Linked DNA regions of Oreochromis niloticus. The protein of the gene in region 3 binds, or shares a complex with, the protein of the main gene of each other region. Links are inferred from orthologs where the notes say so. Each region holds a gene or a part of one and is shown on either strand. Other genes may lie near its edges. The genes, in order: taf3, gtf2h3, taf7 and taf5.

Evidence for each region.
Region 1: taf7 (region 3) and taf3 share a complex: the UniProt entries of both Homo sapiens proteins name them as parts of the TFIID basal transcription factor complex. The link is inferred for Oreochromis niloticus from reciprocal best matches to the Homo sapiens genes TAF7 and TAF3.
Region 2: taf7 (region 3) and gtf2h3 share a complex: the UniProt entries of both Homo sapiens proteins name them as parts of the TFIID-containing RNA polymerase II pre-initiation complex. The link is inferred for Oreochromis niloticus from reciprocal best matches to the Homo sapiens genes TAF7 and GTF2H3.
Region 4: taf7 (region 3) and taf5 share a complex: the UniProt entries of both Homo sapiens proteins name them as parts of the TFIID basal transcription factor complex. The link is inferred for Oreochromis niloticus from reciprocal best matches to the Homo sapiens genes TAF7 and TAF5.

The regions. Positions count from the first base shown.
Region 1 is NC_031972.2:48,372,849-48,380,765, forward strand, and holds the start of taf3 (transcription initiation factor TFIID subunit 3), read left to right. Parts: upstream 1-4,916; 5' UTR 4,917-5,131; coding exon 5,132-5,297; intron 5,298-5,670; coding exon 5,671-5,913; intron 5,914-6,374; coding exon 6,375-7,917. UniProt on the Homo sapiens protein: The TFIID basal transcription factor complex plays a major role in the initiation of RNA polymerase II (Pol II)-dependent transcription.
Region 2 is NC_031977.2:19,470,786-19,478,630, forward strand, and holds the start of gtf2h3 (general transcription factor IIH subunit 3), read right to left. Parts: upstream 3,005-7,845; 5' UTR 2,749-3,004; coding exon 2,739-2,748; intron 2,649-2,738; coding exon 2,569-2,648; intron 2,471-2,568; coding exon 2,364-2,470; intron 1,475-2,363; coding exon 1,332-1,474; intron 1,242-1,331; coding exon 1,179-1,241; intron 724-1,178; coding exon 694-723; intron 590-693; coding exon 561-589; intron 469-560; coding exon 394-468; intron 1-393. Other genes in the region: Rieske domain-containing protein, read right to left, coding at 3,984-4,274, 4,446-4,480, 4,586-4,781; uncharacterized protein LOC100696553, read left to right, coding at 6,075-6,203. UniProt on the Homo sapiens protein: Component of the general transcription and DNA repair factor IIH (TFIIH) core complex, which is involved in general and transcription-coupled nucleotide excision repair (NER) of damaged DNA and, when complexed to CAK, in RNA transcription by RNA polymerase II.
Region 3 is NC_031966.2:19,243,618-19,250,887, forward strand, and holds the start of taf7 (transcription initiation factor TFIID subunit 7), read right to left. Parts: upstream 3,004-7,270; 5' UTR 2,833-3,003; coding exon 2,814-2,832; intron 1,504-2,813; coding exon 1,427-1,503; intron 1,332-1,426; coding exon 1,253-1,331; intron 1,033-1,252; coding exon 899-1,032; intron 718-898; coding exon 597-717; intron 454-596; coding exon 395-453; intron 1-394. Other genes in the region: slc9a6a (sodium/hydrogen exchanger 6a), read left to right, coding at 3,949-4,240, 5,481-5,680, 6,869-6,946, 7,161-7,237. UniProt on the Homo sapiens protein: The TFIID basal transcription factor complex plays a major role in the initiation of RNA polymerase II (Pol II)-dependent transcription.
Region 4 is NC_031971.2:33,266,315-33,273,799, reverse strand, and holds the start of taf5 (transcription initiation factor TFIID subunit 5), read right to left. Parts: upstream 3,008-7,485; 5' UTR 2,973-3,007; coding exon 2,552-2,972; intron 1,070-2,551; coding exon 838-1,069; intron 744-837; coding exon 428-743; intron 218-427; coding exon 54-217; intron 1-53. UniProt on the Homo sapiens protein: The TFIID basal transcription factor complex plays a major role in the initiation of RNA polymerase II (Pol II)-dependent transcription.

The DNA.
Region 1 (7,917 bases), on a different chromosome or scaffold from region 3:
GGATAAAGTTGTGGTATGTCAGTGGTTAGAAATACCATTATTACTTTAGGATTAGTTTAACACAAAGTCAGGGCTGACCCAGGACCATTGCTGTGAGTCACAGTGCGCAGCATAAAGGTCCTTTCACATCTGATGCAGGATGTGCTGCTAATGCTAACTGCTAACTAAAAGCAAAGGATCCAGAATTTGTTGCGCTGGCTGCTGAGCTCTGTGGGTTTTTGCAGCAGCTCTACCTGTACTAGATGCACCTGCTCCTTGTCGTTTCTATCTCTGACTTTATGTCCTCTACAACAGTTTCTGTTTTTTTTGCTAGTTCTTCAAATGTTCAATAAAAACATGTATGCTAATTCATAACGAAGAAAGCTTTGTAATGAAGACTGTCATTTCCAAAACACTGCCCCCCCCCCCCCCCCCCCCCCGCGGTCCGCAGCGCTGTTGAAAAGGCTGTGGAAGTCCCTGTATAAAGCACGTAGACCTGTGACACAAAAATCACCAAACTCGGACGACCACAGACTGTTTTCCTTCGTGGTGATGAAGGAAAACGCTGGGTTGGCATGTAAAAGGGCATTTATTCCCTTCAAGGACCTGCAGTTCAAAAAAGTGCCCCTCCGACAGCCAAACCCATCTGTTCTCTGATTGGATTGTTACATTTGTGATTGACATGACATTCACCAATCAGATGACAGGAAGAAAAATAGGGTCAAACTTCGTATTTGTAACTTGCAGGGGAGTTTTTGGCTAAGTCCACACACAAATCTTTTTTACACATACAAATCTTTTTTACGCACGCACAAATTCTTTTTACACATACAAATCTTTTTTACACACGCACAAATTCTTTTTACACATACAAATCGTTTTTACACACACACAAATCTTTTTTACACATACAAATCTTTTTTACGCACGCACAAATTCTTTTTACACATACAAATCCTGATTTACAAGTACAAAACTGATTTACAAGTACAAAATATTTATGACCACATTTTGAGCCCATACGCAATAACAGAAGTTTGAGTTGAGCAGGAATCTTCCCAGTTAGCCTAGCGTTCAGCAAGGAGGCTGCAGCGCTGCATTATGGGATCTGTAGTTCGTATATTATTAGCGCCTCATATCGCCGGGCCATGCATAACAATAATAGTACATCTATATAAAATGATCTCGCGGGCCGGATATAAATGTACGCCGGGCCGGATGTGGCCCGCTGGCTTTAACTTTGACACATGTGCTGTAGACTTCTTTATCCCCAGAAGTCTTTTTTTCCCCTCATTTTTTCTTTTGCAAATAGAGAAGGCCCTCTGCTGGTTATTTAAAAAATTGAGCTGGGTTTAAGGCACTACTGCATTTGCTTCACTTTTCAGAACCAGAAGTTATATAAATGTAGTCTTGGGAGGTTGAAAAAAAGGAGGTTTTTGAAGATATTTCACCTCTCATACAAGAGGTTATTCAGTTCTATAAACAGGCCCAACTTGTAGAACTTTGGCAAGCTCATCCGAGCCTTTTCGATGTGGCCTCACAAAATTAAAACGACCGCAACAACTGTGAAAAGAGTTGGATGGACATTGCTGCTCAATTGCAGCTGCCTAGTCAATGTCTTTCATTAGTAATTTAGCAAAGTTGATGGTGGTGTGTGTGTGTGTGTCTGTGTGAATGAAAGACAGAGAGGGAGACCAAGAGACAGATTTTGTGTTATAAGCTTCATGTTATCACTTCACTTAATGGACGCACAGTGTGAGCACTCAGGTCACATCAGAGCATCGGGCTGTATAGTGTGAGACCATGCATCGTGACCTACGAACTTCTAACTCCTGCGATTCAATCATACAGTTTGAGCAGGAGCTGAATAACGCAACTGAAAAAAATCGCACAGTGTATGCCCAGCTTAAGCTATCCAATGAAGTGAAGCAAACAATGTCTAGATGCATGCTCAGTTATCTAGGTAAGAAAATCCCAAGAAAGGAATTGGATCCTGGATTGCGTGGCGCAAAGGACAATTGCTGCCTAAATGAAAACCTTTAGTGATCCCCTATGTCAGGAGCATCCGAACAGATGAGAGACATTTTCTTTCAACACAATGTCTCTGTGCCTTTCAAACCCCAAAACTTACTACGCCAAAAAAATTGCTTCACCCCAAGGATCGGATTCCCCAGAACAGACAAAGTAATATAGCGTACATAGTGAAGTGCCATAGTGAAGTGAGTTATACATCAGGAAAACCAAACAACCTCTGGCTGGCTAAGCAGATGGCACAACACAAACCAGCTACCTCAACAGGCCGGGACTTTTTACACCTATAGACCAGTGGCAACTCTTTCTAGGCTGAGATGTACGCATCCTGGCAACACTGGTTTTAATCAAATCAAATCACTTTTATTGTCACGTCACATGTGCAGGTACACTGGTACAGTACATGCGAGTGAAATTCTTGTGTGCGAGCTTCTCAAGCAACAGAGTTGTGCAAAAATACAATAACGTAAAACAAGCAAAAATATAAGAATGGCTAAATCTGAAAGTAATAAATATATGTACAATGTATAAGAGTATATGCATTATTGGATGTGTATACTAAATATGTTTTTCTACGTGTGTGTGTGTGTGTGTGTGTGTGTGAGTGTGTATATACATCTTTTACAAATGAAATAGAGTAAACAATAAAATAAGATATATAAAATGTGCAGAGGTTGGTAGTTGGACATGTGCAAAACAGTGGCATTAATGTACAGTATGGAGTGCATAATGTTGAAGTTCCAGTAGTGAGGGTGAGGTGTCTATGACGTGTTCAGCAGTCTGATGGCCTGGTGGAAAAAGCTGTCTCTCAGTCTGCTGGTGCGGGACCGGATGCTGCAGAACCTCCTTCCTGATGGAAGTAGTCTGAAGAGTTTATGGCTGGGGTGACTGGAGTCCTTGATGATCCTCCCCGCTTTCCTCAGGCACCGCTTCCTGTAGATGTCTTGGAGGGAGGGAAGCTCACCTCCAATTATCCGTTCAGCACACCGCACTACTCTCTGGAGAGCTTTGCAGTTGTAAGCGGTGCTGTTGCCATACCAGGTGGTGATGCATCCAGTGAGGATGCTCTCAATGGCACAGCGATAGAAGGTCCTGAGGATGTGGGGGCTCATGCCGAATCTTTTCAGTCTCCTGAGAAAGAAGAGGCGCTGCTGCGCCTTCTTCACTGTTTTGTTTATGTGTACTGACCATGTGAGATCCTCAGCCAGATGTACACCAAGGAAGCGGAAGCTGCTCACTCTCTCCACAGCGGCGCCGTTGATGGTGATGGGGGTGTGTACTTCCCTGCACCTCCGGAAGTCCACTATCAACTCCTTTGTCTTTGCGACGTTGAGGGTGAGATGGTTGTCTTGACACCAGTGGGTCAGGGCGCTGACCTCCTCCCTGTAGGCCGTCTCATCACCGTTGGTGATAAGACCCACTCCCTTTTATGTAGGGAGACAAGCAGGCCATTCATGTAGGGAGTGACTACAGGAACAGATCAGAGGTACATTTTTTCACCATCTTACAGCCTTTCTCCCACTCTCTGTGAATGGTACTCAAGGCCATTGATCAGTGATTGATCAGTGGTGATAACCATTTGCATATTAATGATCACGAAACTGACCTCACACCCATCATTAATCAGTGGGGCTAGTTTCAGTCATTATGCAAATATATTGTTATAAGGTTCAGGAAATCTGCAGTCAGCTGAGACTTAAGACGTCCCTTGGAGGAGTGACAAAGCATTTCTCCCTCTGAAAACACAAAGTCGAGGTGAAGAGAATCAACTTTCTGGAATCCAATCAAATAACGACTCACAACAGTAGGTAAGTGACTCTCAGGACAGGCCAGTCTAGGGCTAAATACCGAAGACTCTCCGGTGGTTAGAGGAAGCTTCTTGAATAAAATGGCAAAACTTCTTTGAGAACCTAAAGAAGTCCCATTGACTTATTTTCCAGCAGTCAAGACTTCTGGATTGACTGAGAACCTACACAGACACATTTGACACTTCCAGCATTCGCCACAGCTAATAAGCTTCACCATCACCAAATCTACAACCAGTTTTGAGACCCATGATAGAATTTGAGACTTCGGATTAAACAGCCATCTCCAGCACCATTGTCACAGAACCAATACAGATTTTTTTTTTCAAGAATGGTCCTTAAGGGATCCAATAACTTAGGAGAATCATTGCAGAGGTGCACTGAAGCTTTTGTGGTGGGCACATGGTGACCAGACACATTGACACTGGCTTTCCTTTGATGTGACTGTCAGTTTGTTATACAAGTCTGGAAATATATGGAGATAAACTGAAATTCGACTGCTTAATAAAGGTCTACAGCTGGAAGGCGGTGATCATTTTTAATAATCCAGCACCACCCAGTGTGGGGAATTAAACCTGCAGGCAAACCACGCTCTATTTCTCACACAAACTCATGTGATAAAGTTTACGTTAGCTTTCCAAATTTAAGAGTCACCTAGAATTAGCTTTAGTCTGACAAAATGAATTTTAAAAAGCCACCCTGCAAATTGGGATTTTGTTTTTCTCAGACAGTGGGTATATTTTTCTTGAAATATTCTACTTTTTACTTGGGCCGGAAGTGAGAAACAGTTACTTCGGCGTCACTCGGCGGTGAGAAGCTAAAACCGAAACTGACGGCTGGCGTGCCCTGAACGTTGTGAATGTTCCTGCAGCGTCAAAAAAAACGCGCATAGCTTAGTTTAGTTGAGTCATGGCTCTAATTTAAAGCCATGTTTCATCTACGGTAACTAGTCTACATTCAATAGCCCAACTAATGACCATTCCCAGCCTGAGTAAAATCTAGCTTCCTGTATAACCCACAGAGAGAGCTCCTGCGCCTGTGCAGACAGTCACGATCCGCTCGAACTCCGCAGAGCCGTGTAGGCGGAGGCTCACTGGCGCGCATGCGCGGACTAGATTCCGGGGATGGGTCTATCGATGGAAACAAGATGGCGACTCTGGCAAAAGCGCCAATATATTTACTGAAGTAGATGTCCATATTTAACCGTGGTAGTGGGTTTTCCCAAGCCCTTCGGGGCATTCCGCGAAACATGAAGAGCGGGAGCATGTTTTCCAAGAGGAATTGACCGGGATTAATATCGTAACAAAGTCAGCGAGATGTGCGAGAGCTATGCCCGCTCGCTGCTGCGTGTCTCGGTGGCGCAGATCTGCCAGGCTCTGGGCTGGGATGCGGTTCAGCTCACTGCGTGTGATCTGCTGTCCGATGTGCTGCATCGGTACATCCAGCAGTTGGGTCGGGTCTGTCATCGATACTCTGAGTTGTGTAAGTGCTTTCTTTGGTTCTCTTATTACTTTTTTTAGCCTGTAAACTCAAAAGTAGTCGATCACGTTGTTGTTAACTGGCTCTGCAGCTGGCGCCCCCTAGCAAGCAGTTAATGTGTCAGAAAGTACAGTAGGAACAGCAAAGCGACTTCCCCAGTACTATTATTATTATTATTGGGAGTATGCTGCTTTGCATCTGTTTTCAGTGCTAAAAGTAGCCGATCTCACGAGTATTGGTTACTTAATTGCTGTATAATCTATAAAATAACGTCGTATGCCGACTGTAAACCTGTTGAGCATCACTTCTTGGTGCAGGAAGAGTGTGTGCAGAGTGTGTGCTGTGGTTTAATGACAGCATTTTTGATCCATTTCAGATGGAAGAACAGATCCAGTCCTGGACGATGTCAGCCAGGCTTTCAGACTGCTAGGGGTGAGTCTGAGCGAACTGGAGGACTACGTCAACAACCTGGAGCCTGTGCCCTTCAGCCACCAAACACCGCTCTACCCTGTTAGCAAAAACAATGTCCTGCAGTTTCCCCAACCTGGAGTTCGAGATGCAGAGGAAAGGAAGGATTACATTCCAGAGTATATGCCACCCCTGGTCTCCTTACAAGAAGGTCAGTATAATAACTTGTATAGTATTAGCTATATGATCATTACTTTTTAGTGTGCACAGGCTGAAAGTTGAAAGCAAAGTCGAATCAAGTCCTCTCTAAATACTTTGCAAACAATATAGCATTATAATTAAGTTTATTGCAGGGTTGTTACATTAGACTATGATGTAACACAGCAGATTCGTAAAATAGTTTTTTACGAATCATCTTTTTGCTTTGTAGACATTTTATTGTGTTGTAAATTTTTAATGTATATTTATATTATATTTTATATTTTAAGTTGCTAAAAATAAGTGTAAATGCATCAATTCACACAAAGTGAAATACTTTTTTTAATACCCAAATATATTCAGTCAAAAGTCAGTCAAGTCAAAAGTTCAAACTAAAGTCATATGTTTATGTTGTAAATGTCATGTTGTTATTGTCAAAGTTCTTAGTTCTGTTTTTTATCTCCTTTACTCTAGAAGAAGAGGAGGAAGAGGTCCCCCCTGATATGGGTACTTCAGCTGAAGCTATGCAGGTGGCACTGGAAGAGGATGAGGAGGAAATAGATGAAGATGAAACGGTCAACGATGAAAATCATCCACTAAAGAGGCACCTGGATAGTCCTGATGCAGCTATGGGCATGATGCCTACCTCCAAGAGACCTCGGATGTACCCTGGCCTCAGCCCAGAGTGGGGTCTTGAGCCCAGGGAGCCCCTTACGTCTCTCAACCCTCAACGTGTTAGTCCAGGTATTCTGCCTTCTCATGACAGCCTGGACCCCCTGTCACCTGAAATGCCATCTGGTACCCTGCCTTCCTTTAGACCTCAGCCCGTAATACCAAAACACTCTGATCAGAAGGCCCTCACTGCTCCAGCAAGAAAGCCTAAGGTCTCTTCCCCTGGCAGACAAAGGACTAAGTCCCCTAAAGGGGTTATTCCTGTTCCAGTGGTTGGCAGTCCCATAAATTCACCAAAACCATCTAAGGAAAAGAAAAAGTCTCCAGGCAAGACAAAGAGTCCTAAAAGCCCCAAGAGCCCTAAAATGGCCCCTGCTAAAGCCCCCCAACCTCAGAGCAAACCAGATGTCATGCAAAAGTTACCGTTGTCCACACCGAGTGAGAGCATGGGCAAAGACAATATTCATTTGCGTCAGAACATAGAAGAAAGGGAGCTAATTGCAGGCCCTTTCAAGAAATTAGAGCCAGATAATAGAGCAATTGATGATTCTATTGACGCTGTGATAGCTAGAGCATGTGCTGAACGGAAACCCGATCCATTCGCGTTCTCCTCGGGCTCTGAGTCGGATAGCAATGGATTCTCCAGTCCCAGGAGACTGACTATTATGGAGCCATCTACACCTAAAGGCCCAATTGGTGCTGGCATCTTGTTAAAAGACACGTCAACACCACTTCACCCTCCGCCACACATAGGCCTGGGGAATTGGACGATGGATGATTCAATCAACGAGGTGATCCGAAAGGCCAACCAGGGGGGGCCATCTGCCCCCGCTGCACCCCAACCGGCAGCAGATTACGTGTCATCCGGATCAGCTTCACCACCTACCCCTGAACCACTCCTCAAGGTGTTTGAGGAGAAAAATAAGATTGTGTCATCAATAGATGTCAAGAAGAAGCTAAAGAAGGAGCTGAAAACTAAGATGAAGAAGAAGGAGAAAGACAAGCCAAAAGATAAAGACAGGGAAAAAGATAAGAGTAAGCTGAAAGAGAAGAATAAGGACAAGAACAGGGATAAAAACAAGGAGTTTTCTAAAGATGGGAAGATGCCCTGGAAGGAGTTTGGGGTAAAGGACGAGGAACTTTTTGTTCCACGAGACTTCGCCCTGGCTGAGGGCTCAATCAAAATGAAGTCAAGAGATGGGGACGGCTCTAAAAAGGAGAAGGAGAAACATAAAGACAAAAAGAAGGATAAAGAAAAAAGTAAAAAGGACAAGGATAAAAAGGACAAGGGGAAAGATAAGAGCAAGGACGACAAGCAGAAGCAATCTACATTATCCCCCTTTGG
Region 2 (7,845 bases), on a different chromosome or scaffold from region 3:
GCTAATCAATAAAATAAAATAAAATCAAAACCTCTGTAAAGACGCTCTTGTTGAATTTATGGACTCAGCTGGTTATTTTGGGTCACAACGAATAAAACATTTAAGTCTATTTTGTAAATTTTGGCTTCTATGTGTAATAAAGTTATAAAGGATTAGTGGATGATATTTCTTAAAATCAGCATGCAAATGATTTGGATTGTTAAGTGATAGCAGATGTTTTGTTATATACTGTCGACAGTTTTACTTATTTCTGGGAGTTTTAAACTATTTTATTTCAACACAGCATTTCATTATAAGCATCTTTAGGTCCAACTTTTCATCCACAGCAGTGGCTGTAGTAAGTAAAGGGTCATTAAGTGTTAATACAGGACAATAATCTATTAAATATTCTACCTGCTTCTGAGCAGCAAAAATCACATTCATGAAGTTCATGTACTGGAGGGCGCAGTCCTCAGCCGCTTTTACCACCTATACAGTGCAAAGGGTCAAAGAGGGGTCAAAGTCAGGTGGGAAAAAAACGAAACGAAAGTATTCATGATGTTTGAAAATTTGGGCATTACCAATATTCTTGATTTAATCTCTTGTCCAACTAAAAAATATAGAAAAAATAAGAAATATATACATTAAAGCAGGGTAATTGGAAAACTTCATTCAAGAACTGGCATAATTAAGCATGTATAAAGATGAAATCACCTTCCAGCTCTTTCGTGAGCCTGTGAATATCTAGATATTAAAGGTTTAAGGTGAAAAAGTAAATAATATTGGTGGAAAATAAATAATCTATAGATATTTAACTTTAGATCAAAACATCACATACGTTCTGCAACACAAACAAATATCTAACATTCTCTGGGCGACGATGGCGTATAAATTTAACTTTAAAATGCAAAAAAAAAAAGATTAAATAAGTCATACCATTCTATTTCTCTTCAAAATAAACACTAAATGTCCTCTAAAGTCAAGATTAACAATATTTTACCTGCACTACAAACATATGTAGGCCCATTTGACATTAATTACAGTAATTTTGTAAAAAGCTATAAATATCTGCTTACAGTTTCGAGCCTCTGTCTATCTTTACACTTCCTGGCTGATTCTGTGGAGTCGTGCACTGAATGCACTGTTTATTATTGCACTACATGTCGTAAATGATAAAACAGTCTTCATGAAAAGGATACAGCAGAGAGCTTTGGCGAGGGATCCGGCCAACAAAGTATCTGTTGAATTTCCCGTAACTTCAACTGAAATCATGTGAGACAAACTGGATTTTAGGGAGCACTGTACGACATCTTTAAATACCTCAGAGTTTATCCTCGCAAATACACGCTTACTTTTTGACATTATGTTCCTGATCTCCTCAGCAATAAGGTTATTGGCAGCAGACAGGAGTTCATATTTTCCATCTCCGCTTGAGGATGCATCATTGCCACCACCGTCTCCTCCACTCCAGCTCTTATTAGGATACAGGAAGTGACTGAAAAAGTGAGTGGGAGAAAAGTGCATATGAGCAGCGACAGCAGCAAAACATTAAACAGACAGTACTTTATTCCTAGAAACTAAAACTAGTGGAAGAAATACTAAGATGAGCATATTGGATTCCACGCCCATCAGCTAAAAACAGGAAATGGAGGCCAAAATTCCCCTCACAGGGTCACCAAAACTGGACAATAGAAGATCTGGAAAATGGTGCCGGATCTGATGAATCTCAATCTGTACTGCAGTATTCAGATGGTAGAGTCAGAACAACATGAAAGAATGGATCCATTGTGTCTTTTATATGACACTGGTGGTGGTGTAATGGTGTAGGAGTATTTTCTTCTCAAACTTTGGGTCCCTTAGTAACAAATGAGCTTTGTTTAAACACTACAACCTATCAGAGTGCTGTTTCTGATCATGTCCATGTCCCTTTATCACCACACTGTACCAAACTCCTGATGGCTGCTTCCAGCAGGATGGACACTTCATGTCCCAAAGCTTGTAGCATCACAAACTGGTTTCTTGAACATGACTGTACACCAATGGCCTCCACAGTCACCAGGTTTCAATCCAAAAAAGCACCTTTGGGATGTGGTGGAACCGGCTTACACTTCTGCACTTTGGGTTAGTTGTTTTTATTTTATTATTCAAACAAATAATGACACTTGAAAACATTTCGCATGTTTTGGTTCATCTGATGTTGTATTTCCTTGATTTTAAGACGACTGCTATTTTTTATGTTGTAATATGTAACTCCAAGAACTGACAGATAATATACTTTTCCACATGATGGTGATTCTCCTCTTACTCTGGTTTACAAGCCTGTGTTTGGACCTCAGAAATTCCTCTGTGCAGTGAAACCCAATGAAACTATGGTATGAAATTACCTGCCCTGGCAGTGGCTAGCGATGACAGCCAGCTTGTTTGTCCTAGCCATGGCCATGTGAGCGTTTCCCATCACCATGACTGCATCCATACACTTGGACAGGGTGAACTGGGCGGACACAGGGGTACATGGAGCGTTGTTTAGCATCAGAGACATTCAGAAAGACTTGAATCAGACAGAGTAACCACAGACATCACAGCTAATACCTGTGGATCCCGCTGAGCCTGCTGCCCCCACCATATGGGGTTTACATCCACGACGATCACCAGGAGGTTGATTTCGTCCTCTGGGCGAGATTTTGGAAGAGTTTCATCAAAAAGCACCTGAGTGTACAAAATAAACACTGCAAAGACTCATTACGAGCCAGGCTACATACCTGATGCCATCACGGCAGATTATTGACTTGAAAAAGAGATGGCTTCTATTCTGCAGCTCTATCTTCTCTTAGTGCTCATACTTTATCTTAAACTTCAAACAATCTGCAGACAACTAGGAGCGTATTAAAGTCCAGATAGTTTAGGAAAAGCAATTAAATGCAGGGCTACGCACATTATTTCTCATCATTTACACCGCTGGCGTCTCCAGGAAACGATCTTTCTTCTTCTGTGGCTTTTCATAGGAGACTACAGACGCCCGGCACACTGCTGCCACCTAGCGCCCATTTGCTGTAGCGTAAATTCTTCGGTCTCTATATTCTCTACATTCATGGTCATATAAACCAACCCTTTTTTTCGTTCTTAAATCTTTCCATCTATCCCTTATCTTCTGCTCATCCAATTTAGAGCCGCGCTTGAACCCCTCCCAGCTGCCATAGGGCGGGAGGCAGGGCGGTCTGTAAAATACATTTATGGATGGAAATTCCATCTTTAAATTAATTCTAATATTTCTTTGCAAGCTTCAAATCATCATCCTGTTCATATGCTAGAAAAAAACAACACAGTAAAATCTTTTACAGAAAATTGTATATTAGGTATATAAAATTTAGCAGTATCACCACAGGGGGTTATCAGTTTAACTGAACTAACTGATCACCTGAGAAGTTGTCCAAGTGCTGAAGTGCTGCTGTAGATCTCACAATTTAAGCAGTTACAGTTTTGAATCATTTTAAAGCCTCTGTCTATCCTTGTGTTATTTATTGCATAACAGATAAGAATAGACGATGCATGTTTTATTTTTCATCATACTTTGAGTTAAATAGTTAATGTTTCAATGATTTTCAAAATCATTATATTCTGCTTTTTTTTGCACACTGTCCCATTTTTTCTGGAACAATTGATCCCCATTAAGGTAGTTTAATTACAAGAAAAAAAATAAATACAATAAAAACATAATGATAATAATAACAACAATTATAAAAATTCACATATGAAGTTATAATGAAACACAATGATTATTTTGTTGAAAAATAATAATTTAGAAAATGTAACTAAAAACAAACTGTGTATCAGCCAGCTGTTTGTATCAGCTTCAAAATAAAAAGTTCCTGAGGAAGTCACCATGCCAGACATTTACTGATTTTATGCACGTCTGCAGTAAGACCATGTTTTCTATACTGTTACAAGATCAGAGAGTCAGTGGAAGACGAGCAAAGTTCCTTAAATTATCCCTGAAGCATTAAAGGTTATGTCTTGGGTTTGGCTTTCGGCTTGGCTTTGAGTGAAGCGCGCCTGTATTTCTCAGTCTGGTAGACATCTGACTCGATGGCTTCGCCGGAGTCATTGAGCATCACGTACACATCCCCGTTGACCTCAGTGACCTTATGAACCCTCTGTTTGACACCCTTGGAGCGCCAGTAAGTCCTCAGCGGTTTGGCTGTAGGGTCGTCCACAGCTTGGTAAAGCGATTCCCCCTCTGCGAGGGTGATCTTGTACTTGTGCCACGGACACACGATGCACAGCCGTCCATTGAACTCCTACAGGTAACACAGGTCGAAAGGTTAGAGAAAAAAGCATTTGCATTTTTCAGATATTACAGGAAAAGTTGAGTGTCAGACTTATGCACAGCTGTTTACAGTAAACGAGTCAAAAGGTGACTGATTTTCTTAATATACACCAGTAATCAGAATAAACAGCAGAAAACTCACCTCAATGTCTCCATACTGTAAAGCACCACCTGAATCTGTCCATGAAAAAAAATGTGGCATTATGCACATTAACGACGAGCCGTAGCAGAACATATACTCTGCAATGTACTATGGATTATCTCAGCAGAAGAAGTACTTACGGTAGCAGCGCACGTCCATTGCATAAAGCTGCCCCTGGTGGTGAACGACCAGCACATCTCTGCATCCGTTCACCAGCTTTGTCACACGGCCAGCTTTGACAATGTCCTCCTTCTTTCCAATGAAGTGGGAGGTAGACAAGTTTGAGGAGGAGGAAGAGGCAGAAGAGGTCTGAGATATCTCCTCCTCAGAGGACATGTTGATCTGTTCTTATAGCTGATATTCTGAATAAAATGAAAAGATTACGGATATGTAAAGAACAAAAAGATCACTTTCATTTCTTATTTTATGTAGACTGCTTATTACACTCCAGTTACAAAACACACAAAAAACATAGTGTTTGTCTGTCTCTTTTTATAACTACACATAGAACCCCTCGGATGTCTTCATATAAGTAAAGTCATTTAATTGTTTATCTACTACTTTCTTCAGAGTAGCATGAATTATCCAAAGGAAAAGCTGTAAAACCTATGAAAATACAGTTAAAAGTCCAAAATATAACCCCCCCCTTCACATTTTTCCAAAGCTGTTCAGTGGGGTGGAGTCTGTGCTGGCCTGATTCTGACCCCTGGGCCGTGTGTTTCACACCCTTGTATTAGACAATAGATATTACATACGCTCTGTGTTTTCGACTGAGTTAGCAGATAGCACATGGCATGACAATAAATCAAAACAATAAGTGTAAATGAAGTTTCATGTTGCCCACAGACAATTTCAATATAACTGCCATGAAGAGTTTTTGGTTATTCCGGTATATTTGAGATATAGACTGATGTCAGTGCTGAAGTCACATTGATGAACACTGTAAACAACCTCGTTAATATTCTTTTTGTACACTTATAGTTAGACATCCTCTTTTCACCAACCTGCACATTTACTAAAAAAAATAGTTTTTATATATACCTAGATAATAATAATAACAATAAGAAAAAGAAGAAGAAGAAGGAGAAACTGTTTTCCTTTTCAAAGTTCACATACTGATTTAAAAAAAACATTATAAGTCCTTTCGGAAGCGATAATCTGTCACTTTGACTGGCTTTGTACAGATTATGTGAAAACTCTGTATTTTGTCCAGGGATACTCTCCTGTCACCTGTTTTCATCTATCAAACCTGACGGAGGAAACCAGCGTTGTGTGAGTAAAACACACATAAATATGCTAGCTAATAAGGTTCACATTTACACATAAGAAACACATAACGAGTAACGCCTTCTATTCTATTCTATTCTATTCAGCTCTATTTCTCTAAAACGCTAACTCCACAAAGCGTTTAATTACCTTTTCTGTAGTTTCACTGTGAAGTCAATGAGCGGCTGTCATGCTCGGTCTCTTTCGCTGCTTCTGAAGAGCGCTTCGATCACGTGTCAGCACGTTATCTTTCTAACACAGGCCTCCTGACAAAACTGGACATGTGTGAAATTATAAAACGTAAACTAAACGTCGAAGTTTCAAGAAATCTACGAGTGTTTGAGGTTTAAACAGGAAGCGCCAATGTTGTGTGTTACATCGAAATACGTCCCCGGTGAAACTATACAGAATGCAACAAAAGAAGAAAAAAAACCCTTCAGGGGAGCATTTCACTTCGTGGCAAGTCTGTCCGAAGTAGCTCACTGTTGCGTAGTAAGTGTGTATATTTGCATGTTGAGATATTTTTTTTATTCATGCGAGGTAGACAAACCAAAATAGGGGGGATAATAGAAAATTAAAAAATTGTGGAAAATGATACAGCAGTGCAGTCTGTACACACTGAAATAACACAAGTGCATCTTGAATTAAGAAAAAAAAGCTTCACACAAAAAGGAGCAATAATTATGTTAATAAGGACAAATACAATAAAAACCAAGGACCATGATGAAGAAGGGTATAATCATCGATTTCTGTACTGTGCAAATGTCTTGAGCATTTCTTTATATTTTGATTCCAAGGAGGCACACTTTATTGTGATTTTTAAGTGCTCTTAGGCGGTCGTTCGGCCGGTCTTCAGGAGATTCTGTTTTTCTTTTTCTTTTTCTTTCTTTTTTTAGGAAACTGGCTCAATTTTTTACTCATTTCCAGTGCAGTCTTTGCACTGGACCGTTTTCAGAGGAATTTCTTTTTGTTTGTTAATCTACTTAACAGTGACTTATAAATCACTTTCTCATAAATGCATCTACACAGACAACTTAACAAAGAACCTATGTTAAATTGTATATTTAGGCACTTTGTTACCTCAGCTTGTTGGAAAGCATATAATCTTTCCCATTTCTTTAGTTTAATATACAAAATGAATAAATAAAAATAAAAATAAATGCCAAAGGTAAGATACCAGCAAGGTGATTCCCAAGGAGCTTTTTTTTTTTTTTTTTTTACTTATTCTTTGCTAAATATAAAGAAATGAGGATTGCATCAAGGGTTTTGCACTGACCTGTATATTTAATATACATGACACTGCAATTTTAAACCACTGGCTTTCTTTTTGCAAGTATCTCTAAAAGCAATCATGAAGAAGCTTACAATCATATTGGAGTGTATCAGAGTGTAAACATTTTGTCTGCCTATACGGGTGTCAAACTCGTTTAAGTTAATGGGCCACATATATCCCATTTTGATCTAAACTGGACTATGCTAGAAAAACTATTAAAGTATAAACTAGTAAAGAATAATAACCTTGAGAGAACCATGCAAAATAAATCAAATTTTATTACATGTACGTTTTTACATTCAGTGTCATTAAATGCATCGATGACACATGACAGATCATATTGGATGAAGAAAAGGATAAAAACTTGTATGCTGACTCACTGTAAGTGCAACAGGAATTTATGCTTTTAAAATGTTTACTTTCCATTCATTTTTACTTCTCTGTAGCAACACTGGCCTGCATTAGCAGAACATTTTTATTACATAATGACCTCATTGTAATCTGACCAATGAACATATAATAAATAATTTATACAGTCATTGTCCTCGAACAGCTATCCAGTGGGCTGAATTGGACCCTCTGGTCCCCGGACTGCATATCACTTCTGCATATCTGACCCCCCCTGTACTGTGCGACAGATATATTTGTGTCATTGTCTTTGAGGATATATGTATACAAGATATATCTAGACTGAGTAAAACAAGCCAAAAAAAAAACTGTTTTAAAAATCTATATTATATAAACGCAGAAAATATACTGTAGCTCTATACTGCCATCGCTCAGTGTGCTGTAATGCCTTTAGTGTAAGAAGGCTTTCTGTCTTAGTGGGTTTGTTGGTGGGCATTAAGCCGTCCGAAGGAT
Region 3 (7,270 bases):
ACACACACCAAGGTAGCAGCTGGCCACATGCCAGGAAGTACATTAGCGATTAAAAACAGAAGGGGCCAAATCAATATGGCTCAGCTCTGCACCTTCAGGAAGATTTATTCAGAAGACAAAGTAGAAGTGTAGTGCTCCAGCTCCACTCGCTTTCACTTTGATCAAAGCAATAGTGAAATAGCTTTTTTGCATGCCTTTGGGGAAAACTAAGATGGAAAGGCTTTATTTATATGTAAATCTTAGTTTTCACTTTTACCACAGTTCCTGTTTTATGAAATGTAAATGTCTTGTTGGAAGAGAGCCTAGGAAAAAGATGGATCATCAAACGAGATGCTAAGGAGATGGATGGGACATGGGAGGGGACTGCTGTAGGGAAAATGAAAAATGTCAGAACCTTTTTTTTCGCAGTCTTCCGAAATCTCCTCTTGCGCGTGTTCTTCAGAGGGCAGGTGACTAAAGAGCAAAACAATGGGATTAGTGAAGCCAAAAATCAGTCTATTACCCAAGGAGGGGACATTATGTTTCCTGAACTGCTGATATGCCAAGTTTTCAATATAAACAAGTCAAAAAGCTGCTGTGTGTATATAATTACTTACTGCCGTGATTCCAAACAAATTTCTTGTCCTTGTCTTTATCCTTCTTTTTGGTCTTAGGGTCAGTGCCAGTTGGCTCTTCCAAAGGGGGGTAAAGGTCTCCATCTAGTGTACACACGAGCATCTAACCCGTGGATGGGAAAAATGAATGCAAAATATTATGCTGATTAATCTGCACTGCAACTACACTACAACTGTGGAAAATAAATTTACATAACATGTATCTAAAATCCAAAATGTACTTTTATTTTAAACCAATGAAATAATGGAAAACTGTAAAAATTTATTTCCAGTCTCTTGCTTACCTGGCAGACATCTGCAGTCTTGTAAAACGTCTTCTTATCCACCGTTTTGAGTGACTCAATCATGCAGGGCAGATCAACCAGTTTGCAGGCCAAAGGAACACGGTCTACTCTAACTATGCCATGACGACCATCAGCTACAAATTAGAGGGACAAATAACTGTTAAGGGACATGTGGGTGACATTTCTTTAACTAGTTCCATTAGTATGCTTGTTACATTTAAATAACAAAAAGAATGAAACTGCTATAGAAATATGTACAATGTTCAAAATTCTGGACCCAACTGTAAATAAATAACAAGACAGGGAGACAGTGTGAGACACATTAAACCAGTGCCAAGATTGTGAGCAGCTTACGGTGCAACTCAATGGTGAGTCTGTCCTTCATGTTCATACTGCTAGACTGTGCAATCCTTCTTACTGTTGAGGCATACTCCTGCAAAAGAAAGAAAAATGAAGCCAGATCATATGTATGGTGATAAAACTGAATTTCCATCAAACAATGAATTTCTGCAAGTGCAAACGTCTCACCGAAGGAAGCCTAAGGACAAACTGGCTCTCCAACTCATAAGGGGCATCCTCCTTACTCTTGGAACCGACCTTCCCAACTAAAATCAAAACACATCACCATAATGAAAGCGTTAAAATATGTCTTGCTTGCTATATGATGACAAACTACAAAGTTTGTCATTCTACTTTAACATTAAAATATACAGTACATTAGGTACTCATTTTTTCCTATTTTGAAGTAAGAAGTAATATAGTGTCTAATATATTAATCTCTGGCTCTCTTCCACAGTGTCTTTTTTCACAGTGTCAGATGGATGCCACTCCTGAAGCCTGGTTCTGCTGGAGGTTTCTTCCTGTTAAAAAGGAGTTTTTCCTTTGCCTTTCCCACTGAATGCTTACTCATTGCATTTCGTTTGATTGCTGTGGCTTTCTCTGTATTATATTTTATTATATTATATTATAAATTCAGTTCAACTGAATCATCTGCTAGATGGACTGGTCTGTGGACCATTTAAAGCATTTTTGGTACCTTAGCTGGGCTCTTTGTGCAACTTTAAAATTCTACTACATTATATTTCAGGGGCAAACACTACACTCCACCACATTGTTTGACAGCTTTAATTACTGATCACTTTATAGTCTTTCATGTTCTTCCTGTGGAAAGAAACCTCCAAGTTTGGTGATTTTATATGCAATATTTTACTTTGAGTGTTCTTTGTTTTGCTTTTTTTTTTAAACTTGTGGAAAATTGTCTTTAAAGGTATGAGGTTTTCACTGGGCAGCAACACTAGAAATATATAAACACTAATTAATATCTTAAGTACCTACAACAGTAAAGTTTATTTCAGTGCTGACAAAAAAGGAACTTACAATGTAATAAGCTAAAAATGTAAATAGCCAAACCATTTTTATTTCTCACAGTGCGTATATGCAAACCAACAAATGTTATTGTTAGTTCAATATAACATTTAGTTTATTATATTATACTATGAATGAATAAATGAACGAAAAAATAACCAACGTTCCTACCAAATGTACTATGAATCTCTTTTCAAATTCTATCACGAATGTCTTTACATCAAAAGTAAAACACCGATAATTATTGCTAATAAAGGTTACTTGTGCATTTTACATTAGTGATGTCTACCACACTGTGGACCAGTAACACTATAGGAGATTATACATAATGTTCAAAAGACAGGAACGACAAACGCTAATTTGCGAACACAGTTGTTAAAATATGCCACAGACAACATGTTCTGTTACATCATCACCATTATTGTTACTATCAGCTTCATCTTAATAACCGACAACTAAAAATGTTTCTTTACCTTACAAAAGTGGAGGCTAAGAGGCTAACAGCTAGTTATCTTTAGCATAAGGATAAGGGCAGAGGATTTTAACGTACCTTTCAGTTTAGATGTCATCGTCGTTTTTCAAGTTTAGATGGTGCAGCTGTATAGATATCTTTCAATGGCAAACACGCATAAACATGACAACTCTAAGTAAAAAAAAACGAGACTTCTTAGCTACACGGTGATAGCATAATCACGAGCGAAAACAAGAGTGTTGTATAGGGCTTTGCCACTTTCAATACCTCCTCGGAAATTTGTATTTTCTGTACCTTGGCTGTACAACTCGTATGTCTGAGCATTAAATTACAAATTTAGGCATATTTTAGTTAATAATTAAGTAATTATAATATATATATATGCATATTTTGTACTGCCATGTTATTAAATAAGGACTAACAGTGCAAATTAGTTTGTTTTTCAGTGCATGACAGTAAAATAAAAAATTCCGATAAATCGGAACGTCACACGCAACCATCCGTATCACGAGACTTGTCAAAAGTACTTTTGAAAAACAAAAAATAACGAATATTCTTTATGCAATATAGTTAAATGTATCTATAAATATTTAAAATTATTATTTGATGTTCGTATCGTTATGCTAAATGGTCTGTAGGTAAAAGAAAAGTAGGAAGGAAGTAGGAATGAGGAAATACCACAGGAAATATGCGTCTATTTTTTATTTAAACTTATTCTATTAAGAATTAAACCGTAACCTAAAATAAATGTTAAGTTCGTTATTATATCTGGTTTATTTTTATTTATTTATTTTCAATACAACACAAATCGATAGCCTAAAGGACTGTTGGACTCACTTCCCGGTAAGCACGGCTATCGTCAAATATTTCATAATAAAAGATTTCGGGGAAAACTATCATCGCTAATAAGAAGCAAACTGCCAAGAAAACTGCCAGATAGACATTTTTGTTTATTTAGAAGGTTTATTCTTTTTGCGGCATTAAATTTTTCCACAGGCGTTGATTTTAACCACCCACGGTACGGTGGTGTGCTTTTAATTTGAAACATAAAATTACACTTTCTGGAAAAATTACTTTTCCCTTCCGGGCCGGAATTGGTTTCTCTTTTGCTGTCGTCTTTCTGTTGCCCACTCCCCTCAGTTTATGAATAATATTTGCACAAGTTTATTTTTACCTTCGGCGACGTTGCAGCATTTGGCCGCCGAAAGTCGAAATGGTGTTTAAAGTGACTGTCAGCAGTGCCCGGAGGGCAACAAGGACGCTGTGGCTGCTCGTGCTAGTAAGCCTGCCTGTTTGCATCAGTGTTTGCCGAGCATCATCACCTCAGGAGGACAGTGCCATGGAGAACATCGTTACAGAGAAAAAGGCTGAGGAGAGCCACAGACAAGACAGCGCTGACCTGCTGATCTTTATCCTGCTCCTCACCCTCACCATCCTGACAATATGGTTGTTCAAACATCGGCGGTTCAGGTTTCTCCACGAAACCGGGCTGGCAATGATTTATGGTAAGATGGTCCATCGTGACAGAGAGACGTCATCCGAGCTGTTACACTCATTGTGTCCTAATAGTTAGATTTTAAACAGATGAATGTCAACACCACGCTTGATAAGTTCGCCCCTGTTAATGACATACTTCATTTGGGCGAATTTTAACAGATTTATGCAGCAGGACTGTGCCAGTTTGTGTTGTGATTGAGCAAGCGTAATTTAACGACAGTGAACGCCTCTTTTACACTGCTTAGTCTTAAAAATTACATCTGAGCACCTAAGCAATTTCGACAAATACTGTCTTATGAATCCTACTGAATTTTAGTTCTTAAATAACTTGTTTTTGTTTTGTTTTTGTTTTTGCTTTTTCGTGCAAGTCACAAGTGATTATTTGGACAAGTGCCAATCATGAGTGTGGAACTGGACTTTGCTTCCACTTCTGTATATTGAATTTCAGGAGTATTGTTAGAATTCTTCCAACCCGTAGAAGAGGAAGTGGTCGTGCCATTGTAGAATCATCGTAGAACCATATCTAGCAGATAATTAATAATTTCTGTTTGGCTGTGCAGAGCTTTTAGAGTGTAAACATTCACAAATCACTCACTTTTAGTTTTTATGAAGGCTCCATAGGATGGATAATAACATTATGCTATTATTTTAGCTGTGACATTACTGTCTACTACATGGTTACCAAACCATGCATTACTACCATAGTAACAGATGTTTGATCTGAGCATTTTAAGTCAAGATCAGATCACAAATCAAAATTTGATCAAAATAGCTGGAAAGATGGTTGTCATCCTTCCTCAATTTTCTCTCCATGAGATATTTAAAGACATGTTGTGATGTTTATTTTGTGTGACATATTCCCCTCCGTTGACCAAGACAAATTTCTCCCACTGGAGACAATATGGTCTAATCTAATCTAAACTAATTGAAATTCTAATTTGCTGGTACACTATCTGATAGGGTAATTTATTTTCACATGGATGTGTTAAGACTTTAATTTGAGATCCAAAGCTGTTAGGTACGTCTGTGATGTTCAGACTAGACCTTTGTTTAATTTTTTTTTTCTACAAATTAATTCCACTGAAACATTTTAGACCATCTGTAGTGTCAGGTAGCCTAAAACTGCACTCACCATCCGTTTTTGTGGCAACATGCCATAAACCATTAAAAATCCTGTATTAATCAATTCTTCTCTCTCTACTGTTTTTTTTTTTTTTTTGTCTTTCGTTTTTATTAATTTTTCCCCAGGCTTAATTGTTGGAGTGATTTTGCGTTATGGCATTCATGTTCCTCGGGATGTTAGCAACATCACCTTGAATTGCCAGGTCAATGCCAGCCCTGCCACTCTGCTGGTCAATGTAAGCGGCAAGTTCTACGAGTACACATTGAAAGGGGAGATCAATGCCAATGAAGTGAACGACGTGCAGGACAATGAGATGCTGCGCAAGGTATACTCAGTCGTGATGTCTACATACAAGAAATTGTGTTACAGAGATGGGTAATTATTTTCCTAAGGGACTATGTGAGAAACTGGGACTGTTGTGGAGGACAGTGCCAGTAAATTGAACTCAGTATTAATTTTATCTCTGTATAAGTTATTGGTACAGCCCTCCACAAGAGTCCCAGTTTCTCCTGTATCCCCTTGAGAAGATTAATTCCCCACCCCTGAGCTGGAGCAATCAGATGATTTAATCATCAGCGAAGACATAATTGTCAGTTATTTTACACTGAAATGATAGCAGATGTTTAAATCTGCAAGCACTGATGATCAGACAAAACCAGCTACCCCACATGTTTCCCTTCTGATATTTTAAATACAGCATAACTAACCAATGCAAGAGAGAAATCATAGTCAGGTTAATTTGTAATGGGATTAAATGGTGGTTTTAGTTTTTTGTGAGCTGAATGATTTGTGATTCTCTTTCTGTAATACTAATTATTTATTATCAACATTAAGTAGCTATTTCAAATTTAAAAGAATAGCTGTACATCTAGATCAAATCTGTTTGAAGACTAAACAGGGCATGAAATGCTCTGTTAAAATAACTGGCAGAATGCCTTTATTGGTGATACAGAATGTAAAAGAAACCATAAAAGTAGTTGTTTTACAGTTGTCATGTGCTGGGGTGTGTTTGTCACTTTGTACTTTGTCGGTTAAACAGCTGCACAATTACATACAAGCAGTATTCTTGATGCTATTCTAACCACCAAACAAGTAAACAATCTGCTGAACAAGTTTCATTTTTTTAAGTCATAATCTCACGCTCAGCAATTTAGGATTGTTTTCCAAACATGAATACATCTAATCCATTGTCAGAGATTGAAACCACATACTGATTTGAATGTAGCACTGCTCTAGATTTAGCATCTAAAATTGGCATTAGCCTTAGTATGTGTATATGTATGTGGCTAGAAGCTGTCCTCTTTCTGTGACATACCATGTTACTTTTATAGTAGGTTTTTGTTTATTGTCCTGGAAGCTGTGTCATGATGCCCCAGATGTGTCATTTTTGATTAATTAATATTTCAGTCGATCCATAAATGCAACAGCATAGAAAGAAATATTAATGAAAACAACTTGTTAATTTTCTTTTGATGCAGATCGGCAATTTTGTTCTGTGTTTTGTATAACTCAGGTGACCTTTGACCCTGAAGTGTTCTTCAATATTCTCCTACCGCCTATCATCTTCCATGCTGGCTACAGCTTAAAAAGGGTACAGTATATCATATAAAAAGTCAACATTTATTAAATACATATTTTCAGTATGTGTTTGGCTCTTGATTAAATAACATCATATTTTGACTATGAAATTTTAAAAGTCCATTTGTAGTCTCTTTATAGACCGCAGGGGTTTCATCAAGATGAATAATTTATTTTATAGTAAGTATGCATTTGATTGCTGATCTGGTAACTCTTCTGTCTTTCAGAGACATTTTTTTCGGAACATGGGATCCATCCTGGCTTACGCCTTTCTCGGGACAGTCATTTCCTGTTTTATTATTGGGTAAAAGAATTAATTTGCAATTATTACAAAAAA
Region 4 (7,485 bases), on a different chromosome or scaffold from region 3:
CTACAGTAGTGTGCAACAAACCCACAGTACAGTACTGTGTAAACAATCCCTACCTATTCTGGGAAGGAGCATTTGGATCCTGCTTTTTGCTCTTGGAGCCCACGCTGTCCTTTTTTGGCTTCTTCTTCTTGGGTTTACCCTCCTCATTCTCTGCCTCCTCATCCTCATCATCAAGGGGCAGCTCAATTTCTGGTTCCTTCAGCAAACCATAGTAAACCTGCACATGATGAGTGACAAAGGAACAAGGACATGTCATTTCAAAAGGTCTGGTATATAGGGGAAAGAAATAAAGTAATTGCTCAAACTGGCGGCAGATACATGTGAGGCTATCTTAATTTTAAAAAGCTTTTGGATGCCCTCAGTCTAGGGGTCAAGGGTTCAAAATTCGAGTTGTCAAACGTCCAAATGTGTGGTGTATAAATCCAACCTTAGTTTTATTGGCTTCACGCTTGGCCTCTCCTGCCAAGCTGCCAGACATTGCATCTATCTGGCTCTTGCTGCGTGGCATGCCATCAAAGATATCAATGTAGAGGTGCTCTTGGATAATATTCCAGATCTGGTTGTTCTGACGCTCCTGCAGGTGTCTCTTCAGCAGCTGATAAGAGTCACGGGAGATACGCAGGACAAACTTGCTGGTGCGGAAGTCCAACAAAGTCTCGTTGCCTCTCATGTGCTCCTTCTTGGTCAAGCCAGATAAAATGCGCAAGTCCTCTTCATAGTAGCACTCCTGGTCCCCACTGAACCTGAGAGGGAGGTGAACATAAAGAAATAAAGTCATTAAAGTGCACGGAAAATAGAGTGTGGCTGATATTTGGAAATATGTACAATTAGACTCACTTTTCAAAGAAGGCCTTAGCCTCGCTTTCATGGTTGTTGTACACCAGCTCCAGATACATGTGGACAAAAAGTGGGTAGAAGACCTGGGACAGTTCGGCTCTGTGACAGTCCAATACTGTTTCTATGAACTTCTTGAGGTCCCTGTAGTAGACCTTATACAGAGTTGGATCTCCCTGCTGGCTGTAAGCTGACAGTACCACACTGACATCTGGCTGGTCCTCTGCAACTGCTGCTGAAAAAGTCCCAATGAGATGGGTTGTATTAGCAGTGTGTTGGTTTTATCCACGTGGGAAAAAAACATTTTTAAGATTATCTAAACTGTCAGTGTAACTACAAAGTAAATACAACTTTGCCTTTTTCAAAACTTTTTTTACTAACAATGCACGACCACTGCTCTGAGGTCAATGATCCCGCTTTATACTGGTGATTGCTTTTTAACTGACTGATAATAGTAAAAACAGTAAAAATCCATCCTCCTTTTGTCCTGTGTCATCTAACTAGTCGCCCAAATAGAATGTCTTGCATGATTTGGGTATTCCATATGCTAAAGCTTTGCACATTTTATTCCACAACCCCTATATCTTTTGGCATGAGCAAAATACATGTGCACAATCTACATCAATTTGTCCACACAGTCTCCAGCATGCAGCATTCCTCCAAGTTTTTGGAGTTTTAAAAAAACAAAACAACAACAACAACAACAACAATAGATCATATTTCCAGTTAAATTCTCTCTTTATCCTGGAGCTAGTGGCCATGCACTGTGTTTTACAAATTAAAGTTATTTGTTCTTTCTTTTCTTTTATCCTATTTGTCTTTAATATACAGAAAGGAGGTCTTTCTGCATGACCTTAAATCTCTGTACAAAGCAGAGATTTCCCTGCATTTTCTTCTGAAATACCTCAATAATCTCATTTTATTTTATCAGTTTTAACCTTCTCATAATAATACCTTATTTATCTTAGGTATCAAAATTCTTCATGTTCACCTAGTTCAAATTTTTCCTTCAGTCTTTCAAAACCCAACATATTTTCATCCTTAACCATTGTGCATATTGCTGTGATGCCTTTATTTGCCCAGTGCTTGAACTTTCTGTCATGATTGCCAGCTATAAATCTCGAGTTTGATGCGAACCACCATAAAAATTCCCTGTTTCCAAACTTTTCGATTTTGCAGTGTGTCCATCCCATCACCAATATATCAAAGGTCTGATTTGTGCTGTTTTTAAATACACTTTGATGCTTGGTAAAGCTAAACCTCCTTTTTCTTTAGAGAACTGCAGAGTTTGTATCTGACCCTGGCTTTCTTTCCACCGCATATAAACTCAAGTTTACCTCTCTTTTTTTAAACTTGAAAGGGTATTAATCAGTTAATTACAGTTAATACATTTAACTTTTACTTTCTATTTGCAATTACAATTTCACATCCTATAATGGTACCAATACATTAAAAACACATTATCACTGCAATCGCTTCACTGAATGAACACGAAGTAACCCTGCCGTAAAACGTAAGGCTATATAAACATATAAATATGTTAGTACTCGAAGTTAACACACCCTGTAGTATAAAAGTGCTTAACTCTTAGCGCTCTGAGCATTATCCCTAACTGATACCACTATATTAGGCTGTTGTGTCAAACTCGTGGTTGATCAGGAGACGTTTGTTAAGTGTTTTCATACATAAAAGCGGCAGCACCCCGACTGTACTGTACCTTTGGTTGGCGCCTGGGCTCCGGCGGAGGATGATCCGGTAACTCGGCTGAGAAGAGAGCTCGCATCCCCGCCTTCTAAGTCCACAATACCGGCTGCACCTCCCGATCCTGCCCCGGCCGATTCATTCGCCTTCGGGTCCAGTGAATTTTCCGGTAATCCCGCCTCACGACGCAAAATCTCGACGGACTCGCTGAGTTTGTTCTTTTTGAGGAATTGCAGGACTGCCAGCAATGTCTGCTGGTCCTCCGGGGTAACCGCGGCTGTTTGTTTGTTGCTTCCAGTCGAAGAGCTGGAGCCGGGAGACGCAGAGAGCACTCTACCATCGTTAGCATTGTTATTTCCAAAGCCATCGGCTGATGGTTCTGTTTTAATGTCTGTTTTTATGTCCGCGTCGCCCATACCACCTTGTACGGCCGCCATTTTCAGAATGAATTGCGCATGTGCGACGTGAATCAACGGAAAACACAAACCGTACAAGACCAAGACATATGATTGGTTCTTACCAGTGAGCGCGATCATTTACGTTACAGAAGTCCCGCCCTTCGAGTGAATATGGTAGTGTAGCGGTTTACGCATTAAGGAGCGAAAGGTCCCCGGTTCGATTCCAGCCCAAGATGAGAAACTATTTTATGGTTTGTGTTTGGAGGAGCAGCTGACGTCAAAAGTCTGCCAAATCAAACACGTGGAATTACCTCCTGTGACACAGCCCTCTTCATAACTTGATGCTATAATAATATAAATATCTAATTGTACCCCAGCATAAAGACTGCATTCACAAGTGCATAGGTTTCACTTGAGAAACGTTTTGTGTATAAAGTGACAAAATAATCAGTACTTTGTTTTGCCAAAGACATATCTATAACTATCTATAACAATATAATATCTATAACTAATGATATATATGTTGTTTTATAAGAACAGCAGTCCAAATTTCAAAGACACTATATAGATTGTAATTTATATCAAACGCAAGCATTTGATCCCCACATGAAAACCTAGAAAAAACAAAGTTGTGCATGATTTAATCTTACAATCCAATTTATATCATTTTTTACCAGGTGGTGGCACTTAGTTCCCACACAACAGCTGGCCAGCGTCCCAGCCACCTCCTTGGACACTGTGTTGCTGCTATGAATAAAATCAGACATTTTTTTAATAAAATCTATAAAACATGGTGAATGAAAACAAAAAGAAAATTACTTTGCAAATTTCTATGTCATCTCCTCAGTTATACTGTTAATATAGAAGTTTATTGACACATCAGTCTTCTGCACCTTTAAATTATCTTATGGACCATCTGCCTCTTTCAGTGCCATACAATATTTTATGAGTCTTCAGGAAATGTGTGAGACAGTAAGATGAGGTATAAGTAGCATTTTCATAATAAGTGACAACTTGTACCAGTGAGGAAACACAAGAAGGACAGTAACTGTGTATGAGTATGAGTGGTGTTTACTTTGCATTCTGCTGAGTCCGAATTTTTGTCCATACAATACAGCACACCTTGCTTGAGCGAACAGTCTGTCAAATACATTCATGTACAGCTGACTTTGCATCTTTTGAGGCAGTTCGGCATTTGTTTTTATTTCAAGGAGCCTGTCAGTAAAAAATTCGAACTTGATCTTATTTCATTGTGTCTCTGCTGGAAATAGTGCAAAACCTGGATTTGTTTTTTGTTTTTTTATTTGACCCCACCCTCAAGTATAATACATGTACTGTAAATACAATAATACTGAGTTCTAACAAAAATTCACACAAACATATACTTGCAGTGTATTATTGAGTATAGCTCCGGTTGTAACTGATCTCCACTCTATAAACCTGGTTAATACATTCTCGACATTAAGACTGTGATAACTCAGCAGCAGGTTCAGCACGCAGGCTGCAGTCGATTTTAAAGACTGGGACAAAAGAAGGGTTCACGGCACAAGAAGCGTTGTATAACACTGCGGCTATGTTGCCCCTCGTGGAGGAGAGATGGGGGTGGGGTTAGCTGGTGAAAGTGGGAGACATACATGTGAACACCAGCAGCTCAGGGTGTGGTCATCAGCGCAGGGTCATTGTAAAGCTGCTAATTAGAGAGAAAATCCATTCCTTTCCTTGGTGTAAAGATATCAACAACATTACTCTGTACGGCTGACATATTTATGTTTTCATTTTCACTTTAAAACACATGTCAGACTAAAGGTTTTTGATCTGTAAGTGACTCCTTCATATAGCAAGTTACAAAGCGCCTGCCTGATTACTTATGCACAACCATATGGCCTAAATTTCCAGTGTCTGCATGTCTATAAAGGAAACAGCGGCATGTGCTTTTGTACTTGTATTGAATCACTACAGTTTGTGGTTGTGCGTTTTTTCTTTTCTGTTTTTTTTTTTTCAAATGACAGAATAATAGTTCTACTAGGATTGCTAGGATTACTGTGATCTGACTGAAAATCAAATTAGGATTTGTAAAAAGTAATAAAGAGAGAAATCTCCTCTAGCTGTTTTGATACTTTATTATTCTTTACAAATGTTGACACTGATGCGATTACATGAGGCTAATTTGTGTAAAAGTGCCTATTTTTATATACTGAAGCTTTATGGTAAACTGTCTCTGAAATAGGTACGATACATCACCTAACATTATTATTTTTATGCTCACACAAAGCATAACAGAAATTTTCTTCACAATGAGAGCTGTTTTACTGCAAAAAAATGCATTTATATTGCATTTGTCTACCCTTTCTGTTATTTAGCCACACATAATATGAGTAAAAAAGGTTTAGTAGTGTTTATAAGACTGTGTTTACTCATTAAAAAATTTTTCATGCTCAGTTCCAGTTTATTTTTGATAAGTTTCAGTGTTATTTTTATTTTCTGTTGTTTTAATAATGGCGTTATTTGTCAGATTGTAAGATTTAAGAAATTCAGAACAGTACTATCGTACAATACAGCAATACTTATATTTGACATAGTCGTGTAGGTATCCCAGTCTCAGTAAATAAGTGTACCAAACCCTACTAGTTGTCAAAAATGTCCCATATGTTGTCATTTTGGTATAAATTTTTAAGTGCAAAATATCAACTAATGCTTTTTTCACATCTAGTTCTAGTTTTTACCTCACAAAAATCACCCTGGTGAGGATATCTGAAACAGTTCTAAACAAAGAAGCTTCCTGTGTTTCCATTATTTTTCACGTGTCAGTGTTTCACAGCGTGATCTTTTTGTGCCCCGCCCTGATCCACATGAACCTCGGTTCCCCAGTGTTGCCAGGTTAGCAAATGCAGCTGGGGATAAGAAGCCACTTGTTTTCTTGCCCAATTTTCCCTTTTTAAAATTTTATTTTAATGACTTAAATGACCACATTCGAGTGAAAACCCCACTTTTCAAGCCATTCGTTTGATTAAGTGGTCTTTTATTCATTTTATGTGAAGCTGCTCTAGAGCTCTTTGCAGTGATAATGAAATGGGTGAGTGAGGTGAAAAGAGACGCGTGTTCAGTCTCATCCTCTCTTCACACCTCAGTGATGACTTTGCTCAGTTGTCTCTCTCGCTTTCTCTCTCTCGCCATAGTGTGTGTGTGTGCTGTGTTGGTGTGTATGCTGGAGGACTCTTCCACCATCCCCAGTTTCTCTGTCACGAGGCAGCAGGGTGTGGCTTCCCCCAACAGAGACAGGTTTTCTGGAGCGAACACAGACCCTCAAAGAAAAAGCGACTGTTTCATGTGCACTTTAAAGTCTGATATTCACACTGCTTTAGTGCCATGATATACTATTTGAATTAAAAAGCTTACCATAAAATCTAGTCAGTTGCAGCATTTAGCAATATTTATGCTGTATTTCATCATTATTTCGACTGCTCTGGTTTTCTCTACTTGCTATAAACCCTTACATTTCTATGGCACTAATAAGCAGAGTGCTGATACGACTGACATGCATCAGTGAGTTAAATTAAAAGGGCGTTGGAGTGCGTTTGCATGGTTACTGCACACAAACAGAAGATGTGCTTTATGTTTATATAACCCAATAAAACTGGGGAGGGTGTTGGGGGGTGTTTGATGTGATAATTACAATTGGAGGCACCAGCAAATTCAAAAAAAGAATCTGCAGGTTTGCAGGTTCAGTGATGGTGTTAGCAGATGAAAGTTTCAGTCACATTTGATTTATATTAATTTATTCCAAAAAAAGATTTATGGCAAAGGCCATCATTAAAAAGGCATTCACTTTGCAGGGAAGTGTGTATGTGCATGTTCATGCGATGCAGTCCTGCAAGTGCGGAGAGGGGCGAGGCAGATTTCTAATCACTTTCTTTCTTTCTTTTTTGTTAATATTTCATTTCGGTGGATGTGTGTGGAGGATATCTGTTTCTTGAGATTTACTTAAATGAATCCAACTACATGAACATTACTATTTATGCATAAATTATCCAAATGATGATGTAATTTTGGCTTGATCACTGTTCTTTCACCTTGAATGTCCTTATGGCTAACACTTTGTGCTCCTGCGGGTTTCACTGTTAATCTTTCCTTAATTTTTTTTGACAAGTATTCTGCTGTCAGCTGGGGAGAGAGAGAGAGTGTGACTGAAAGGACATCCAATGATCACCTTTATTAAAAGAACCATTAGTTTTCTTCCGCTGACAAAACACTGCCTTCCTGTCTTTGAGCAATAAACGGTCAAGAAACGGATTTAAATCCCCCACTGACATGCACGAGTAAATAATTCATGAGGTGTGACTCTCAGAAGAGGTGGAAAATACCCAAAGAGATGGAAAGCGAAAGAGAAAGAGAGAGAGCGAAAGAGAGAGTAAGGGAGGGATGAAAGGAGAAAGCAGAGAAGAGGAGGGTGGAGGTAGAAGCACGGTGTGTGGGATGGGGAGAGGGTCGGGAACCAAGAGGGGTGGGGCAGCACTTGGGGAGCGGTAACAACGCAGGAAAGATGGTAAAATGA